Linked DNA regions of Oryctolagus cuniculus. The protein of the gene in region 2 binds, or shares a complex with, the protein of the main gene of each other region. Links are inferred from orthologs where the notes say so. Each region holds a gene or a part of one and is shown on either strand. Other genes may lie near its edges. The genes, in order: RICTOR, MAPKAP1 and MLST8.

Evidence for each region.
Region 1: the proteins of MAPKAP1 (region 2) and RICTOR are in contact, whole or in part, in a cryo-EM structure (PDB 7PE7), measured with the Homo sapiens proteins. The link is inferred for Oryctolagus cuniculus from reciprocal best matches to the Homo sapiens genes MAPKAP1 and RICTOR. Residues at the interface, in NP_001006618.1 of Homo sapiens: Ala2, Phe3, Leu4, Asp5, Asn6, Pro7, Ile9, Ile10, Leu11, Ala12, His13, Ile14, Arg15, Gln16, Ser17, His18, Thr20, Ser21, Asp22, Asp23, Thr24, Met26, Cys27, Met29, Val30, Leu31, Ile32, Asp35, Val36, Ser84; in NP_689969.2 of Homo sapiens: Arg108, Gln137, Glu140, Thr144, Leu147, Arg148, Arg151, Lys152, Thr155, Arg182, Met183, Arg185, Ala186, Ala189, Cys192, Glu193, Leu196, Leu220, Arg222, Ile223, Glu225, Ala226, Leu227, Thr229, Thr230, His233, Asn236, Arg293, Trp295, Glu844.
Region 3: the proteins of MAPKAP1 (region 2) and MLST8 are in contact, whole or in part, in a cryo-EM structure (PDB 7PE8), measured with the Homo sapiens proteins. The link is inferred for Oryctolagus cuniculus from reciprocal best matches to the Homo sapiens genes MAPKAP1 and MLST8. Residues at the interface, in NP_001006618.1 of Homo sapiens: Lys102, Cys103, Lys104, Asn105, Ile106, Gln107, Trp108, Lys109, Arg111, Asn112, Ser113, Lys121, Leu123, Phe124, Glu125, Lys126, Lys127, Ser128, Leu129, Gly137, Lys138, Gln139, Ser140, Ile141, Leu142, Val144, Arg145, Leu146; in NP_001186102.1 of Homo sapiens: Ala29, His30, Pro77, Ile78, Ile79, Ser80, Tyr81, Asp82, Gly83, Arg98, Arg110, Ile111, Trp112, Gln120, Cys121, Gln122, Arg123, Ile124, Asn139, Gln140, Ala141, Leu157, Lys158, Ile203, Glu206, Ser279, Gly280, Asp281, Gln283, Asp322.

Annotation. Positions count from the first base shown.
Region 1 is NC_091445.1:64,474,380-64,480,288, reverse strand, and holds the start of RICTOR (rapamycin-insensitive companion of mTOR), read left to right. Parts: upstream 1-2,189; 5' UTR 2,190-2,248; coding exon 2,249-2,297; intron 2,298-2,469; coding exon 2,470-2,517; intron 2,518-3,651; exon of another isoform or gene 3,652-3,788; intron 3,789-5,909. UniProt on the Homo sapiens protein: Component of the mechanistic target of rapamycin complex 2 (mTORC2), which transduces signals from growth factors to pathways involved in proliferation, cytoskeletal organization, lipogenesis and anabolic output.
Region 2 is NC_091432.1:229,455,980-229,462,087, reverse strand, and holds the start of MAPKAP1 (target of rapamycin complex 2 subunit MAPKAP1), read left to right. Parts: upstream 1-2,085; 5' UTR 2,086-2,360; intron 2,361-6,108. UniProt on the Homo sapiens protein: Component of the mechanistic target of rapamycin complex 2 (mTORC2), which transduces signals from growth factors to pathways involved in proliferation, cytoskeletal organization, lipogenesis and anabolic output.
Region 3 is NC_091450.1:33,048,557-33,054,486, reverse strand, and holds MLST8 (target of rapamycin complex subunit LST8), read left to right. Parts: upstream 1-1,901; 5' UTR 1,902-2,031; intron 2,032-2,464; 5' UTR 2,465-2,518; coding exon 2,519-2,647; intron 2,648-2,737; coding exon 2,738-2,789; intron 2,790-2,873; coding exon 2,874-3,036; intron 3,037-3,563; coding exon 3,564-3,639; intron 3,640-3,731; coding exon 3,732-3,884; intron 3,885-4,648; coding exon 4,649-4,773; intron 4,774-4,883; coding exon 4,884-5,047; intron 5,048-5,137; coding exon 5,138-5,256; 3' UTR 5,257-5,624; downstream 5,625-5,930. Other genes in the region: BRICD5 (BRICHOS domain-containing protein 5), read right to left, coding at 5,625-5,719, 5,800-5,930.

The DNA.
Region 1 (5,909 bases), on a different chromosome or scaffold from region 2:
CATTGACTAATGGTCTTTAAGTAGGCATGGATAGCTATAAAGATAACAGGATGCAGGCTCTTCATGGCTACTTTGTCTAAAATGGTGAAATAGTGTAAAACATAAAGGGATGAAATACAGAACTTGTAATGTCCTGGCCAGACCTCGAGTTCTGTGATTTTTGTTCTGTGCACTAAGTAGAGCAATTTGCACCAAGACGTGAAGGCAAGTCTTTGTTCCTGTTATTTTTTTTTTTTTTTTTTTTTTTTTGACTGGCAGAGTGGACAGTGAGAGAGAGAGACAGAGAGAAAGGTCTTCCTTTGCCGTTGGTTCACCCTCCAATGGCCGCCGCGGCCGGCGCGCTGCGGCCAGCGCACCGCGCTGATCCGATGGCAGGAGCCAGGAACCAGGTGCTTTTCCTGGTCTCCCATGGGGTGCAGGGCCCAAGCACCTGGGCCATCCTCCACTGCACTCCCTGGCCACAGCAGAGGGCTGGCCTGGAAGAGGGGCAACCGGGACAGAATCCGGCGCCCCGACCGGGACTAGAACCCGGTGTGCCGGCGCCGCTAGGCAGAGGATTAGCCTAGTGAGCCGCGGCGCCGGCCCTGTTCCTGTTATTAAAATTACTGTTATTGGCAGGACAAATTTACTTAAAGTAAGGTCATCCTTAAATCGAAGTGCAGTATGAGCAGCACCACGTTGTTTGAATGCACACGTAGTAGGAAAAGCACCTGAAACACATAGATGGTGGGTAGCATGTAAGAAAGCCGTGCTCCTACTTTACTTTTCTTACAATGCACCTTTACAAGTGACATATATATATATATGAATGAAATACACATGCACTATAGGACATTTAAAACATCCAGAGCATACGTAATTCCACAACTGAGGGAGGAAAACCAACCAGCATTCCGATGTCTATCTTTTCAGACTTCTATCTGTGGACACATCCATTTTGTGATGCATCCTTTTAATGTGTGTGTATTTCAGAAGTTTCCAAACCAGGAAATTTGTAACCTCTTGCTTGACTCAATAATGTGAACCATTGTTTCTTATTAACCTACTAGATTCGTATCGTTTTTTGAAACGGCTGCTGCACTTCACACACCTCTCAAGTTTGGTCATTGAAGTGGTCCCACTTGTTCACTATTATTAGCAACAGCAAAAAAAAAAAAAAAAAAAAAAACCAAAAAACTCCAACATTTCTTTTTAGGGTAGAGGTTGTATTTCCTGGCAGCTGAGAAAGAGAAGGGGTTAAGGGTATAGAGCCCCACGTTCAGTCTCTAGGGAGTTAGAAGACGAGTCGAGGACCAAGAGCGAGAGAGCTCATCCTCTTTAGAGTCCATCTGGTCCCAGAGGAAGTTGCTGCATCAGGGGTCAGATGTGTCTATTAGGGTATCAAAGAACACTCGCCCGAATTAAAACTCCTGTCCTTCCCAACTGCTCGATTTGTGTACAGAAATACGCCTTCACAACCGCCCCATCTGCCACCGTTCCGGGAGTTGCAGACACAAGCCGGGACTCCGCTCTCGGCCCCCGCAGAGAGGAAACCGCGTCCCGGGGCCTGCGCGGGGCGCGCGGGGCGCACTCCGCTCCCGGGCCGGGGCCCTCCCGCCACCTCGGCCAGGTGGGCTCCAACTCCACTACCCCGCCGCCCCGACTCTGCCCACCCCCCAGAGCTGAGCGTGGCACGGCTAGGAACAGAACTCAGCGACGCGTTAACTTGGTCAGGGAAAAGCGAGTCTCTTCTCGCAGCGCGGGATTTACGGGAGTCTACACTGCGCGGGGCGCCGCTCCGCACGCTCGTCTGAGCGCGGCCGCGGATTCCAGGGCTAAGCCGGCGGCAGCACGCGCTCCGAGCAGGTGGCCGCTCGGCCGCAGCCGCCCTCCTCTGCCCCTGCGCCCCTCGCTCGGCTCGGACGCCTGGTGTCCGCGGCGGCCGGAGGAGAAGCATCCTCCACGCCGCCAACTCCATCAATGGGACTCCCCGCGTGGGAAACGTCCCCTCCCGGAGGACTTGCCCTCCGACGGCCCAGCCGCTCGCTCGCCTCGCCTCCCTGGGCCGGGGCGGGCGGACGCCACGAGCTCCTCCTCCCGGACCCCGGGTGGACGCGGCGCTCCCTCCGCGGCCGGAGCGCAGCCGGCACCACCCGCCGCCGAGGGGGCGGGGGCGATGCCGCGGGGGGCGGGCGCGGCGCGCGGGGAGGGGAAGGGGTTCTCGCGCGATTGGGCGAGGTTTCCGGTGTTGTGACTGAAACCCGTCAATATGGCGGCGATCGGCCGCGGCCGCTCTCTGAAGAACCTCCGAATACGAGGTAAGCGCGCTGCAGCCCTCACTCCTCACCTCTCGGCGCCCGCCACCCCTGGCACTTGCCTTCCCCTGGCCCTGGGTCGGGGGAGCGGAGCGGGGGCGCTGGCCGGAGCCTGGGCAGCCGCCGCTGGCCTGCGAGCGAATCCTAATTGGGGCTGTGTGTCTGTTTCGCGCAGGGCGGAATGACAGCGGCGAGGAGAACGTCCCGCTGGATCTGACCCGAGGTAACGCGGGGCGCCGAGAGCGCCGGCGAGGGCGCGCTGCTGGGGAGGAGCTGGGGCCGGGGCGGGCCTCGCACGGGACCCGCGACGGGGACGGGGGGCGCAGCCCGAGCCCCGCCTGCCGGCCCGCGGGAGCCCCGCCAGGCCGCCTCGCTGAACCCATCCCCCTTCCCGGTGCCCGCTTCACTCTGCCTGAACCCTTCTCTGGGGGCCTCGGGCTGCCGCGGGGGGGGGGGGCGGCTGGGGAGCCGCGAGCGGAACTGGCGGAGCCGGCGACCCCTGGGCTCGGTGGCCCCCGGGGGCAGCGGCTTCCACCCGTGCCGAAGCTCGTGCCGCCGGCTCCCGGGGCCGGCCGGAGGGAGGTGGAGGTTGTTATTTGGGTTGCAGGAGGATGTTTGAGGGAAGAGCGACCACATCCTGCCCTCCCCGTCTCCCGGCGCAGAAGCCGGACCTGCTGGCTTTTTTGCTCACTGCGTGCCTGCCTTTTTTTTTTTTTTTTTCTCTTTGCCCCGCGTCCTGTGGGGACCGCCAGCATCGGTAGCTCGGTGCTGAGCCCTGGAGCCGGTCAGGACTGCTGCGTGGCTGGTTTCCGCCGTGTTTTCCTTCTGTTTCTGTTTCCCGGGCCGCTGGGACCGTGCTTCGCCGAAGACCGCCCCCTCGCCCTGCTGCAGGTTCATTGTTTACCTCCTGCAGTGGCGACGGGTTTGTTTACACCTTGGGAACTGAGTGACCCTGGCTTCTCTTTTGAAGGACCGGCTCCGGCTCCACTCCGTATTCTCCATAGCAGGGACGGGACCGTAGTGGGGTTTTATTCCACCTTGTCTTGCCGAAGATTGCGTGATTGGGTACTTGCGACGAGGTTCTTTTCTGCTGCACGATAAACAGGATTTGGTCTGCTGGTTCGCGCCAAGTCCCGTTGCGTACCAGCTGTAGCTTGTGGTGTAACGTGGTTCAGCTGCATAGCATCAGTTGCTTGTTGAGCTCTGTAAAGCGCTGTAGGAAGTTGAAGTCGTCGTAAACAGTCGATACGCGGTCGATGTGCTACTTAACCCTATGTTCTTGACGTAACAATCGCTCTCCACGTATTTATGGTGGACGTGGGCTTGGTGTTGAGGATCATCGCTGAATTAAAGCGTAGTATGATTTGTTCTGTATGTCCTGATGGGAGGTAGCCTTTGTAAACTGGAAGGCCGGTTTTCATGGAGCTACGAGAGTGTATTTTTGTAACCGTGTTTTATTCTGCAACTTCAAGGACGGAGTTTTCGTGAACTTTGGTAGGCAAGAGAGTTTCAAAAATACAATATAGTAGGGCTTGAGTACTAAAAATGGCACTGATTACGATCACCAGTGCACTGCTTTGGAGCAGTTTTTCAGCAGCTTAGAGGTTAGAAAGTAGTGAAGAAACATGTCGTCAGCCTTTCGGCTTTTGTGCAGTAGTTTGAAAACTCTATATGACAGACATAGGGAAAAAATTTGTATGAAATGTTTGCTGTTTTCAAGGAAACCTGTGAACAAAAATAAGGGTCATTCTTAACAGGCCTGAAATTTAGCATTTTGAGTTAAATAACAGATGTAGTTTATTAGAGATTTGTGTACACACACACACACACAAGCATGTGTGTTTTTAGAGGGAGGTGAAAAGTACATACTAGGTAAACTTGAGGTCAATTTGTGCATTAAAAACCTACTTGGGCATGCTAGAAATAAATTTTAGTTGTACCTTAAATTTTGTTGAATTTATTGAATTTGTTGAGCTATATTTGTATTTCATTGTTTTTCTGATATCAAAAATTTTGGTTGTATAAAAGCTCAGATATAAATTTGGATACCTTGGGTTTACTCTAGTTTTACTCAGGTACACATGTAGCTCTGTATGTTTATTATTTAAAATGCTATATTCTCTAATAATTTATTTTATAAATAACTGTTCATAAGCATTTCCAGGATTATATAAAAATAATACAGAGACTACTGTTTGTTTGCCCTGACAAAATGTATTTCAGTTTGGAATACATGTACACAGCCAGTTGAAACCAATTTCACAAGTGATTTACAACTATGAGTGAGAGGTTACATGAGAACTCTATTCCTGAATCATAAGGAAGTTTATAATAAAGAAAATCTGAGTTAGATTCATTTTATAGCAACACTGTTTAAAGAAACTATTATTCTGACAGACGTTTCATTGTTCAAAAAAGGCTTGTGGATCTAACTTGAAGAAAGTTCATGAGGAATTAAACTTTAGTAATGATTTGAGAACTGTGAGGCAGTCTGGGTTACAGCTGAAGGGCAGCTGTTTGTGGATTGAATTACAGTATGTAAAAAAGATAAAGTTCAGGCAACCAAATAACTTTTTGATTAATGTCAAGGCGCCGTTTTCTCTTACTCTAATTATTTTCATGTAATCTTTGAGAGGTTTATTGTATAGATATCTAACAAAGTTCTTTATAAAATAGAAGTTAAAATCATTGTAACCCCTAAGGGAGCCATTAGTGTGTGATGAAAAAGAGCTAACTATGAAGTCAAATAATTCTGGGTTGTAATCTCAGCTGTGATATTTAGGAGGTGGGTGATTTGGCGCAACTTATTTGACCTTGCTTAACCCCTCCTTTCTTCATCTCAAAAAGAAGAGGTAACCTCAAAGGATTATTGAGAATCTGAGAAATAAATGAGGTAGTTCTTATAGTACTCAGTACAGGATCAGGTACTTTGTCATATTAGCAACTTTCCTACCATGTCAAATCAAGATTCTTAAATCACATTGGAGATATTTCAAATAATTGTTTAGAGTATGTACATGTTAATAAGAAGTAAGGATTTTGGTATTCAAGCTTCCTTTTGTTGAGACCTTGTATTGTACTAATTAAGTATAGTTTATCTGAAGTAGAGGTCCTGAGTGTAATGACTATAAAAAGAGAACTCTTTTTTTAAAAAATAAAGATTGCCAGTAAATTAAGTCTAATGAAGTACAACCCGTTATATGCACTTAAGATGAAATGTGATACTTTATTTTATAGAATCTTAGAATTTTTCTGTGACTTCAGAAAATTTCTTAAGCTGACTAGGCTAGTCTTACGAGCTTCTTGGGGCCTGCTGGTGTTCTAAGGTTCTTTGATTCTGGTACTAGTGTTAGTGCTGTGCTTCCTACTTGGAGTTTTGCAGTTAAAAATGTTGATGAATTAAGTTTGACCTAGGATCAGGATTTTGTAGTAGATTCCACAGTGAACTTGTTGATCATTTTTGCTTTTCATTTTATTCTCTTAGCTACTCTACTTAATTTGTGAAAGTCCCCAATATTTGCTATTGATATCATTAAATACTGTCTCTGTGCTGCCTGCCAAAATGTATTTTGAAACTCAAATGCTTCCCTTAGCAACTTCAGCTGAAAAGATAGC
Region 2 (6,108 bases):
TTAACAATTTGACACTCTTGTTTATGGCATCAGTAATCTCCCTAGGCTCTAGTCATGAGTTGCCAAGGCTATGGAAGCCTTTTGGGTTTGCCGACTTCGATCTTATTCCAACAGGGTCACAGTCAAAGTGGAAGTTCTCTCCTCCCTTCAGAGAAAGGTACCTCCTTCTTTGATGGCCCCGTTCTTTTCACTGGGATCTCACCCGTAGAGATCTTTCATTTAGGTCTTCTTCTTCTTTTTTTTTTTCCCCCAGTGTGTCTTGGCTTTCCATGCCTAAAATACTCTCATGGGCTCTTCAGTCGGATCCGAATGCCTTAAGGGCTGATTCTGAGGCCAGAGTGCTGTTTAGGACATCTGCCATTCTATGAGTCTGCTGTGTATCCTGCTTCCCATGTAGGATTGTTGTCTCCCTTTCTGATTCTATCAGTTAGTATTACAAAATGAATTCTATCTGGGTCTCCCACATGGGTGGGAGGGACTCACTCATGCCATCATCTGCTACTTTCCCAGGCACGTTAGCATGAAGCTTGATCCCAAGTGGGGCAGCTGAGATCTTTACCCAGACTCCAATATGAGATGCTGGCATTGCCGTTGGTGGCTTAACCTGCTTCTACACAGTGCCCACCCCAGAATTATTTTAACCCATAGTCAAATAACTTCTTGAGGGCAGAGTCTCTGGCTTTTTTACAACCGAATCTCCAGTGCCTAGGCTGGGCACCCATAAGTACCTGCTTATTGACAGGTGTAGTAACAGTGGTAAGTACTCAGTATTAGCCACCTGCTTGGCTGCATTCTATGGAGTTCTACGTATTAGCTCATTCAGTCCTCACAACGGTTATGACTTTTTTGTTTCAGTCTTTTTTTTAAAAGATCTATTGTATTTATTTGAAAGTTAGAGTGACAGAGATAGGTAGTACAGAAAGAGATCTTCCATCCGTTGGTTCATTCTCCAAATGACCATGATGGTTGGGGCTGGGCCAGGCCAAAGCCAGGAGCCAGGTACTCCATCAGGATCCCAAGTGGGTGCAGGGGTCCATGTACTTGGCCCATCCTGTGCTGCTTTCCCAGGAGCATTAACAGGAAGCTGGATGGGAAGTGGACCAGCCGGGACATGAACCAGTACCCTGATATGAGAACTGGCATTGCAGGCTGCAGCTTAACCTACTGTTGCACAAGGTCTGGCTCTGTTACTTTTGATTTCCATTCTACAGATAAGGAAATTTAAAGAGGTAGCTTGGAGAGACGAAGCTACAAAACTCCTAAGTGGAGAGAGTGTTCAGTCTTTAGACTCCATGAGCGACCCGCAGGTCCAGTCGATTTCGATTTCACACAGGTCTTGGCCGTGGGAGGGACGCTCAGGCAGCTGGGTTTCAGACTGGAGCCCAGGAAAGCAGAGAAAACGAGAGAAAGGTTTGGGGGGAAGTGGGGGAACCTACCCAACCTTTCTGTCCACCCGGCCAGAGCGCCCCCGACAGGTCCCCGCCGGAACCACGGAGGGCAGGTGCAGGGCGCGCCCGCACCGACCGTGCGGTGCCAGCACCCAGCACCCCGTGCGCCTCCCTGCCGTCCTCGCCGCGGACCCGCGTCTGGGCACTACACACAATGAGGGAGGTCGCGGCACCTCCTGCGGGTGCGTGCCGTCAGCCACTGTGCGGCCCCTCACCCCTCACCCCGTTTGATTCTCACAGCCATCCCGTCATCCCGGAACTGCTGCTACGGACGGGAAAGCCGAGGCTCCGAGGGGGCAGCTGCAGTGTCCAGGGGTACACTGCAAGTCAGCAGCGGCATTCGAACCCAGGGCTTTCGGATACACGCGCTAGGCTGCCTCGTTCCTCATTTCTGGATGAACTGGGGGCTCTTCTCTTTGCAAGTGGCAAGAACGAGGGCTCCACGGGGATCGCTGACGTCGATTTCCGTCCCAGGAAAGCCGGGCGCGAGCGAACCTCGCCGGGATTCCCAGGCTCGGACCCAGGCCTCTACCGACCCCGGAGAAGAACGCGCATGCGCACGGCCCCCCGCCCCCCGGGAAGTGGCTCTCGACTCTCGAGCTTGCGCACTGCGTTCCCCAGCCAGAGGCGCCTTCCTGGTCGGGGACTTCCGGTGCGCGGGGGTGCGGTTCCGGGTCGTGGCGCGGCTCGGGGTAACAGGGCTGCTGCTCGGCCGGTCGGCGGCGGCGAGCAGCCGGGACATGAGGGCTAGTCCGGGCGACGGCAGCTGAGAGGGCCGGGAGGAGCACCGGTCCCCGAGGATCCCGAGAGTGCAGAGTCGGGGCAGGGGCCGGGAGGCGTGGGGGAGCCGGGCCCTCCTCTCAGGAACGTTTCCCAAGGCCAGCCCGGCCCGTAGTGTGGAAGCAGCTTCAGGTAAAGGTTGCCCCAGCCGCTAGCTCCCTTGCCCGCCCGCCTGCCCGCCGGCCGGCCCGCTCGGCCTCTCACGGGGCCTGGCGGCTCGGATCCCCGGCGCTGCCTGCCCAGCGGGCCGCCCGTCAGGCCCCTGCTCCGGTGGTCAGCGGCAGCCGTTCCCTGGCCCCTTCCAGGAGCGGAGGCTGCCGTGAGCCTGACGTCCGGGTGTGGACCCCGTCGTGTGGGGTGGGGGCGCGGGCGCAGGTGGCTCCTGCGGTTTCTGTAGGTGCCCCGCTCTTCACAGTGTGAACATCGAGTTCTTCAGGTGTTGCGTGCGTGGTCCTGTCTCGTCCCCCTGCACGGATGAACAGCCCCGCTGAGTTTTTGTTAGCTGGAGTGCTGCTGCAACTTTGGGTCAGGTTTTTTTTTTTTTTTTTTTTTTTTATTTGTGGGAGTCTTCTGGATCTGTTTAAGGTTGGAGAAAAAAATTGTGTACACAAGGGTAGTATTTTAACCAGAGACACCCCTTCCCCAAATTGACTCAGAAATCGGATAAAACTGCATTCTGAATGAACGCAAGTGCTGTTTGAAGCCCACCGAAGTGGCACCGTGGAAAGCATCATGTTGTTGTAAACCCAAGTCAGCAAAGTTGAAAACTTCTCGGGTGTGACCCAGTGGCGGTACACCGCTAGAAAAAGCCGGACTTCTCGTGCTGTTTGGACAGGCAGGCGGGGGTGGATCTTCAGCGTTAAAACCCACCAGGACAGCTAACGAGGCACCCTGCTGTAGTCTCGGGTGCTGAGAGCCCACGCCGGGTGCTCCCGTGGTGCCGGGGGCGCCCTTGATGAAGTGATAATGGTTTTCATCCTCTCCAGCGTACCCACGTGCGAGCTCTCTGGGCCTGTGGCGTGTGCTGGTAGCCCCTCTCCCTCCCACTGTGGGCCAGACCACACTCGTGCCTGTGCGCCCCCCGACCTGGCTCGGGGCAGAGGCCCCCACTCGGATCCGTTGCTCTAGGCTCTCACGTCGCCCTTTGTCTTTGGCAGGGCGTGAGAAGGTTTCCCCTTTTCTGTGGTCCTCTCGAGAAACGCCCCTTGGCCTAGCTGAAGTTGGCCTCCCTCACCCAGTTTGGGACAACCCCAACTAGAAATGATTTCTCTAGACTCCTGTAAGCACTCATTGTTGTATTTACAGTTATTTCATTTGGCAAACAGTTACTGAGTATGGGTGTGTGCCAGGGGCAGTGTTAAGCAGTGTGCAGATACATCAGACTGGGTTCTGGCCTGCAGGGAGCTCAGCTTAGTGAGACAGATAAGGAAATTATAATTCCAACACAGTGATCAGTACAGAGTTCTTTTTGTGATACATTTGTACAGAAGGGGGACTGGTCGTTCACTTTTGAGGGGTGGGATATGGCCAGGGGATGCTTTGTAATGCATACTTTATTCAGTATTTATGTATTGCATGTTATATATCAGTTTTTCTTGTTTTATCATTTTAACCTCAATTTATAGATTAGGAAGACTTAGGATAAATGATGTAACTGATACAAGACAGCCATGGTCAAACCCAGATCTCTCTGATGCTTAAATCTGTACTTTTCCATTACTTGGCTTGCCGTCTTTCTCATCCCATAGCTATCTAATCAAGAACATCCTGAAACTATACAAAGGAAAAAATATGAATATTAAAGTGCATGGTACTAAGAATCATTTGAATGTATCACAGCCTTCCAAGGCAAGTTGGTAGTAGCTGATCACCTCAACTTTGAATATGGGCAAAGAAGATAGTCTAGAGAATTAGCATGGGCTCTGTGTTCAGTTCCTGGTCTCTCTTCTGACTAGATAAGTGACCTTTGGCAAGTTTCTTAACCCTAGGCATCATTTTCCTCAACTAGGCGTAGGGATGAGGGATGCTACTGACCTCACAGGTGTTCGGAATATGTAGTGAGCTACTGTGGATAAAGGGCCTGGTGTAGGTTGAGCATCCCTGATCCAAAAATCTAAAATCTGAAATTTTCTTTTTTAATTTCTTTTTTTTTGAGAGGCAAAAGGACACACAGTTCCCAATCACTGGTCCACTCTCCGAATTTCTGCAATGGCTGGGGCTGGGCCAGGGCAAAAATCAGGAGCCAGGAGCTCAGTGAAGGTCTCCCACATGGATGGCAGGAACCCAGTCCCTTGTGTCCTGATTGCATCAGCAGGAAGCTGGGAGTCAGGAGCTGGAAATGGGTAGGGACCCCAGGCGCCTTGACATGTGGGCTTCTCAAGTGGGTCCCAGCCACCGAGCCAAACACCCACCCCCAAGAGCAGAAACTTTGAGCACTACATGACTATCAAAAAGCTTCAGTTTTTGGAGTATTTGGAATTTTGGAATTTTGGATTAAGCCTATGGAAATACTTCAAAACCTGAAAAAATTAAAATCCTATATAGTTCTGGTCTCAAATATCTTTTTTAAGATTTATTTATTTATTTGAAAGTCAGAGTTACTCAGAGAGGAGAGGCAGAGAGATAGAGAAGTCTTCTATCTACTGGTTCACTCCCCAGCTGGCCACAACGGCTGGAGCTGTGCCTATCTGAAGCCAGGAGCCAGGAGCTTCCTCCAGGTCTCCCACGAAGGTGCAGGGGCCCAAGCACATGGGCCATCTTCTACTACTTTCCCAGGCCATAGCAGAGAGCTTGATCAGAAGTGGAGCAGCTGGGACTTGAACCGGCACCCATATGGGATGCCAGCACTGCAGGCGGTGGCTTTACTTGCTATGCCATAGCGCCGGCCCTGGGTCCCAAATATTTTGGATAAGAGACATTCAACTTGTGCATGGCAAAGCCTCCAAGATGACAGGTGTGAAATTTGGAGGAATAATGCCTGTGACGTGGCTCTAGAGTGCGGATGAGCCACAGCCTGAGCAAAGCAAGCCGTTAGCTCTTTGGTCAGAGTGTTGGGGTAAAGGGAGGGGCAGTGGAGGTCAGAGTCTGGCAGATTGAGTGCCAGGCAAGAGGGGGAAATTCTAGTGGTCTTGCTTTTTTTTCCCTTTTTTTTTTCCTAAATGATTTATTTCTTTGAAAGAGTTACAGAGAGGGAGAGACAGACCTTCCATCTGCTGGTTCACTCCCCAAATGGCCAGGGCTGGGCCAGGCTGAAGCCAGGAGCCAGGAGCCAGGAGCTTCTTCTGGGTCTCCCACATGGGTGCAGGGGCCTAAGGACTTGGGCCATCTTCTGCTGTTTTCCCAGGCACATTAGCAGGGAGCTGGGTCCCGAGTGGAGCAGTTGGGACTTCAGCCAGTGCTCTCATGTGGGGTGCCAGTGTTGTGGGTGGCCATTTAACTCACGATACTACAACACCAGCCCTGGAAATTCTAGTTTCTGCTCATAACTTTCACAATTAAATACTGTGAGGATGTATGATTTACTCAGCAGGGTCAGGCCAAATGTTGTCCCCTGGGGACACGAAGAAGAGTAAAACCAGGTCACCCCCCTGAGGTTGTTGACATTGCGGTGGAGAAATGTGTGCAGGCGAAGCTGTAGCAGGTCCTGTAGGTGGTGAGCGTGGAGGCCCCACAGGTGCTGTGAGCACACGGAGCCACGCTGCTGGTCGTGCTCACTTGCGTCAGCACTGCGGTAAGTGCTTTATCATGTATTCTTGTGTGAGGAGGTGTTATCAGCATCCCAGCTTTACAGGTGAGGAACTGGGCACTGAGAGGTTCAGTAACTTCCTCGGGTCTGTGCAGCTGGGTGAGGAGTGAGATGGAGGGATTTTCCGCTGGCTTT
Region 3 (5,930 bases), on a different chromosome or scaffold from region 2:
CAAAGGCCACTGCCTGCGATGCCCGCATCCCACGCGGGCGCTGCTTCACCTCCTGGCTGCTCCACTTCCGATTCAGCTCCCTGCTGCTGCTCCTGGGACAGCCGCAGGAGGCGGCCCCTCTGGGGGGAGACCTGGATGAAGCTCCTGGCTTCCGGCTTCGGCCTGGCTCTGCCCTAGCCATCACGGCCATTTGGAGAGTGAACCAGCGATGGAAGATCTCCCCCGACCCCCTACCCCGGTAACTCTGCCTTTCAAATGAACACATTTAAAAAATAATACACTTCACAGTCTTTCTGAATTTTTAAAACTTATTTATGGGGAGAGCACAGCACACCACCCACCGGTCACTTCTCGAATGTCTGTGATCGCTGGACAGCGGGCCAGGAGCTGCTTCTGGGTCTCCCGTGCGGGTGCAGGGGCCCCAGGACTTGGGCCACCACCTGCTGCCTCTCAGGTGAGCACTGGCAGGAAGCCGGAGCCGGAACCGCGGCACTCTGATGCGGGAGCCAGCACCTCCAGGAGCACCACGGCACCCGCCCCCAAACCTGGGTTTCTGAAAGACCCTCTCCAAGGTGGGGGGCAACCAGGAGGGGGCAGAAGCGGGTGTTGTGGCAGGCGAGGTTGTGGGGGTGGGGGGTGGGCTCCAGGCAGAGCCGAGGCCAGGCCAGCAGTGAAGGTGGCCTGGGTCCCACCCAGCTGCGACACGCAGGGCCTGGCGGGGGGGTGGCCGCCCGGGCTGGGGGAGGGGCTGGCGTCTGGGGGGCATCTGAGAGCCAACGCGCAGCAGGGAGGCTCGGAGGAGCTGGAGAGAGACAGACAGGGCGGGGGGGGGGTTCGGGGGGTTTGGGAAGCCCTGCCGCTGGGGCTTGGTCCGTCCAGGGGAGATTGGGTGCCCGGGCAAGGACAGAGGTGATGCCCACTTGCGGGCTCAGTGCTGCCAAGCGCAGAGCAGAGCCAGGAAGGGGAGGGGAAGTATCTGGGTGGTCAGCCAGGGGACAGCAGAGCCTGGCGGGATTCTGAGAGCTGTGGGACACAAGGCAGACAGGATGGAGTTGAGAAGTGACGGGGCCGCCTGGAGCTGTCTGCAGCAGAGGGTTCTGGGGTTGCTGTATGGTGTTCACAGGCTCAGGGCGCAGGACGGACCCTGGCCTGGCCGTGGAGCCGAGGGATGAGCTCACACCTTGCGTCCAAGCGCCGGGGTCTCAGGCCTTGTGCGGCTCGCGGTGCAGCCTCCTGCCGCCGCACAGCCTGGGACGGCTCCACCGCCTAGGTCCCAGCACCCCGCGGGTGGGGGATCCCGATCACGTCCTCGGCTCCCAGCTCCAGCTCGGCTCACCCAAGGCCGTTGTGGAATGCGAGTACTCTCTCTTTAATTGATTAATAAAAACTTCAATTAATTACAGATTTTAAAAGGCTAGGGGTAGGAAGGAGGCAGGGAAGGTACAAGAAGGAAGATTCCTGGGGATGGGGGGGACTGGAGCCACATACACCTGCTCTGAGCCTGGAGGGGACGGCGATCCGTCTACACCCGCTCCGAGGCTAGAGCGGACACAGGTGTCATGGAGCCAGCAGTGCAGAGGCTAGGGACGGAGAAGCCGGCGGAGGGGGCTCCTCGGCTGAGGACTGGACAGGTCTGCAAGGCCAGGACGAGGCGAGCAGAACCACGGATGCCCTGGCACATTTTACTCTCGTTTAATAACACGTCCATGCCTAAGCAAGCCTCACCAACAGAAAAACTACTCGTCCCAGCCTGCGCGGCGGAGGGCATGGGGACGCGACTGTCCCCTGGGCCCAAGCTGGGACAGGCGCCGCCTTCAGAGCGCCGGGCGCCGCTGCGCTCAAAGGGACTCCCCCGCCCCAGGACTTTGGTCTCGTCCCCACCCACCTCCACCGCCCCCCCCGCGCCACCGGGCTCCATGGTCTCGCCTCAAGTGCCCATCGATAACTCTACGCTCGGCCTTGGCCTCGATCGATTCGCTCCAACTCCCCTCGCCGTCCTGGAGCACGGAGGAGTGCGGAGCCGCATGTAAGGTACGGAGGCCGTGGCGAGGCCTGGGAAGCGGCTTCTGGGTGGCCGGGAGAGCGTGGCTGGGGAGAAGGAGCCGGCAGGACGGGCCCACGGCGGCCGACGGGGCACGGGGCAGCCGGGGTCCGACCGGACTGCTCCCCCACCGCCATCGGACCCGGACACCGCCTGCTACGCATGCGCAGCCGCAGCGCTCGGCTCCCCCCCACCCCGGCTCGCCCTCCGCCCTGCGCACGCGCAGCCCGCCCCTGCGGCAGAGCGACGCCCTGGGCGTGACTGCCCCCTGCCGGCCCCAGGCGGGATGGCGTCCCAGCCGTGCTCGTGCGGCGGGGAGCGCGGCGCGCGTCCCCATCTCCCAGGTGGGAACGCGCCGCGCGGGCCCGTCACCCGCTCAGCACGCGTGGGCATGCCCTGAGTGCTTGCCGTGTGTGCCCTCAGATGCTCTGACCCTTGGCGCCAGCCTTCAGCCCTCGGGCCCGCGCAGGCCCCGCCATGAACACCTCCCCAGGCACGGTGGGCAGCGACCCCGTCATCTTGGCCACCGCCGGCTATGACCACACGGTGCGGTTCTGGCAGGCCCACAGCGGGATCTGCACCCGCACGGTGCAGCACCAGGACTCTGTATCCCCGCGGAGGGGGAGAGGGTGGCCGGGCGGGGTGGGAAGCCCAAAGCAGCTCTGGCCAGCTGTGCAGCCTCCTTGACAGAACCAGCAGGTGAACGCGCTGGAGATCACGCCCGACCGCAGCATGATCGCCGCTGCAGGTACTGGGACCCCTGACCTCTGACCCTGACTCCCGCGGGTCCTCCCCGGGCACAGGCGCACTCGAGTTCTGCTCGCGTCCCCAGGGTACCAGCACATCCGCATGTATGACCTCAACTCCAATAACCCCAACCCCATCATCAGCTACGACGGGGTCAACAAGAACATCGCGTCGGTGGGCTTCCACGAGGATGGCCGCTGGATGTACACGGGTGGAGAGGACTGCACGGCCCGGATCTGGGACCTCAGGTGCGGGGCGGGGGCGAGGCCCCGAGTGTGTGCAGAGCCCGAGAGGGGCGAGGCCTGGAGACCAGGCACAGCCCGAGAGGGGCGAGGCCCGGAGACCAGGCACAGCCTGAGAGGGGCGAGGCCCGGAGAGCGCGCAGAGCCCGAGCCGGTGTTCTGTGCAGCTGAGGGGAAGTGGGGAAAACGGAATCGGTGGATTGCATCACTGCCTTGCGTCCAAGGGGCCGGCTTTTTGTTTTCTTAGCTTTTTGTGTCTGAAAGGCACAGTGACACAGAGGGGGAGAGGCAGCGTCCATCCACTGGCTCCGCCCCACATGGCTGCAGCTGGGCCTGAGCAGGCCAGCGCCTGGAGTCAGGAGCTCCATCCTGGTCTCCCAGAGGCACTGGCAGGGAGCGGCCTGGGCTCGAAGCAGTGTTCCGGCACCGCAGGGGGAGCTTCAGTCGCTGGCCGCAACCCCAGCCCTAGGGGGCGCCTTTTAGTCCTCTCAGGCCGCGGCCATCGGCTGACGTGTGCGCGCCCCACCCCGCAGGTCCCGGAACCTGCAGTGCCAGCGGATCTTCCAGGTGAACGCGCCCATTAACTGCGTGTGCCTGCACCCCAACCAGGTGAGGAGCGGCTGCCGGCGGGCTCCCGGGCCTGCAGGGCAGGGGTCCCGCCCGGCCTCACCTGCCCTGCCCTGCCCTGCCCTTCCCTGCAGGCGGAGCTCATCGTGGGCGACCAGAGCGGCGCTATACACATCTGGGACCTGAAGACGGACCACAACGAGCAGCTGATCCCCGAGCCCGAGGTCTCCATCACATCTGCCCACATCGACCCCGACGCCAGCTACATGGCCGCCGTCAACAGCACCGTGAGTCCGCTGCGGGTGGCGGCTGGGGCAGCCCAGCTCCCCGTCCCGGGCCCTGCCGCCCACTCAGCCGCCACAGCCCAGGACCGCCCAAGTCTGGCCACTTCCCCGAGAGCCGCTGGCTCCCCAGCCACCCCCGTGGGCGCCAGGAGCAAGGCCCTGGCCCTGCTGGGCTCGCCGGCCTCCTCTGCTCCCTTTGCTTCGTGGAGACCCCAGCCCTGTGTCCCCAGACCTCCCTCCTCCTGGCCTCCTGCCTGCAGGCCAGTGGCATCCTTAAGGAGGTTGCGTGTGAGCCTCCCACTCACCCACAACCCCGGCCGAGGTCCCCGTGCGCGGACAGCCCCCAGGGTGGCCTCCCGTTCACCCGCACCCCCGGCCGAGGTCCCCGTGCGCGGACAGCCCCCAGGGTGGCCTCCCGTTCACCCGCACCCCCGGCCGAGGTCCCCGTGCATGGACGGCCCCCAGGGTGGCCTCCCGTTCACCCACACCCCCGGCCGAGGTCCCCGTGCGCGGACGGCCCCCAGGGTGGCCTCAAGCTCACCCGCACCCCCGGCCGAGGTCCCCGTGCGCAGATGGCCCCCAGGGTGGCCTCCCGCTCACCCGCACCCCCGGCCGAGGTCCCCGTGTGCGGACGGTCCCCAGGGTGGCCTCCCGCTCACCCGCACCCCCGGCCGAGGTCCCCGTGCGCAGCTGGCCCCCAGGGTGGGTCCTGGCTCCGGGCTCAGCCTCCAGGGTGCGCTTCATTCTGCTTCCTGTGACTTCCCTAGGGAAACTGCTACGTGTGGAACCTGACGGGGGGCATCGGTGACGAGGTGACCCAGCTCATCCCCAAGACCAAGATCCCAGCGCACACGCGCTACGCCCTGCAGTGCCGCTTCAGCCCCGACTCCACGTGCGTGCCGCCTGCGGGCTGCGGGCCGTCGGGCCCACCTGGTGCATGGCAGGGGGCCCGGGCGGGAAGGGCGGCCGGGTGACACGCCCCGTGCGCCTCCTGCCCTCCAGGCTCCTGGCCACCTGCTCGGCTGACCAGACCTGCAAGATCTGGAGGACGTCCAACTTCTCCCTGATGACGGAGCTCAGCATCAAGAGCGGCAACCCCGGGGAGTCGTCCCGCGGCTGGATGTGGGGCTGCGCCTTCTCCGGGGACTCGCAGTACATCGTCACCGGTGAGCTGGCCGCCCGCCCCGCCGGGCCTGCCTCGGGCCGGGCTGGCCAGGCTGGGGCTGTGCCTGAGCCTCCCCCCTGCCTCCCCGCAGCTTCCTCTGACAACCTGGCCCGGCTCTGGTGTGTGGAGACTGGAGAGATTAAGAGAGAGTACGGCGGCCACCAGAAAGCTGTGGTCTGCTTGGCCTTCAATGACAGCGTGCTGGGCTAGCCTGTGCCTCCTGGGGACGGCCGCCGGCTGTGTGGCAGACCACGCAGGCTCGCCTCTGCCCACCCAGGCCGGCTGGACCCCCCAGTGGCTCGGTGCTGCCAGGCTGCTCCGAGGCGCTCAGCTCTCCGCCGCGGCCCCTGAGGCAGGCTGCACCTCACAGCTGGGCCCGGTGGCTCGGGGGGCTGGTGCGCACCCCCAAGCCAGTCCTCCCCGCCCTCCCGCTCCAGGCCCCCTTTCAAGCCCCGAGGCCACAGAGGAGAGTGGCCGCACTGCCAGGTGGGAGCTTTATTGGTGCATTCCAGGCGGCCTCCGTGGTGGGAGGTGCCGGCGGCCCGTGGGGCGGGGGCCGGGCTGGCCAGGCCAGGGGCTTAGTCCGGGAGATAATAAAAGCAGACGGACACGCAGATGTGGCTTGGGAAGCAGATGTCCATGCAAAGGTAGATCAGCCGCTGCCTCTGGGGCCCTGGGGGGAGGGGCTCGTGAGTCCCGAGGGCCCGGCCGGCCCTGCCACGGCCCCTCCTCGCACAGCGCGTGCCGACTCACCCTCTGCCCGCCGGGCCCAGTAGATGGGGGTCTCTGCACAGAGGCGCTGCACCGCAGCCCCGACCTGGGCGGGGTCCACTGCACGGCTCCCGAGCACGGCCAGCAGCTCCTGGCTGCGGTGGGTATCCTGG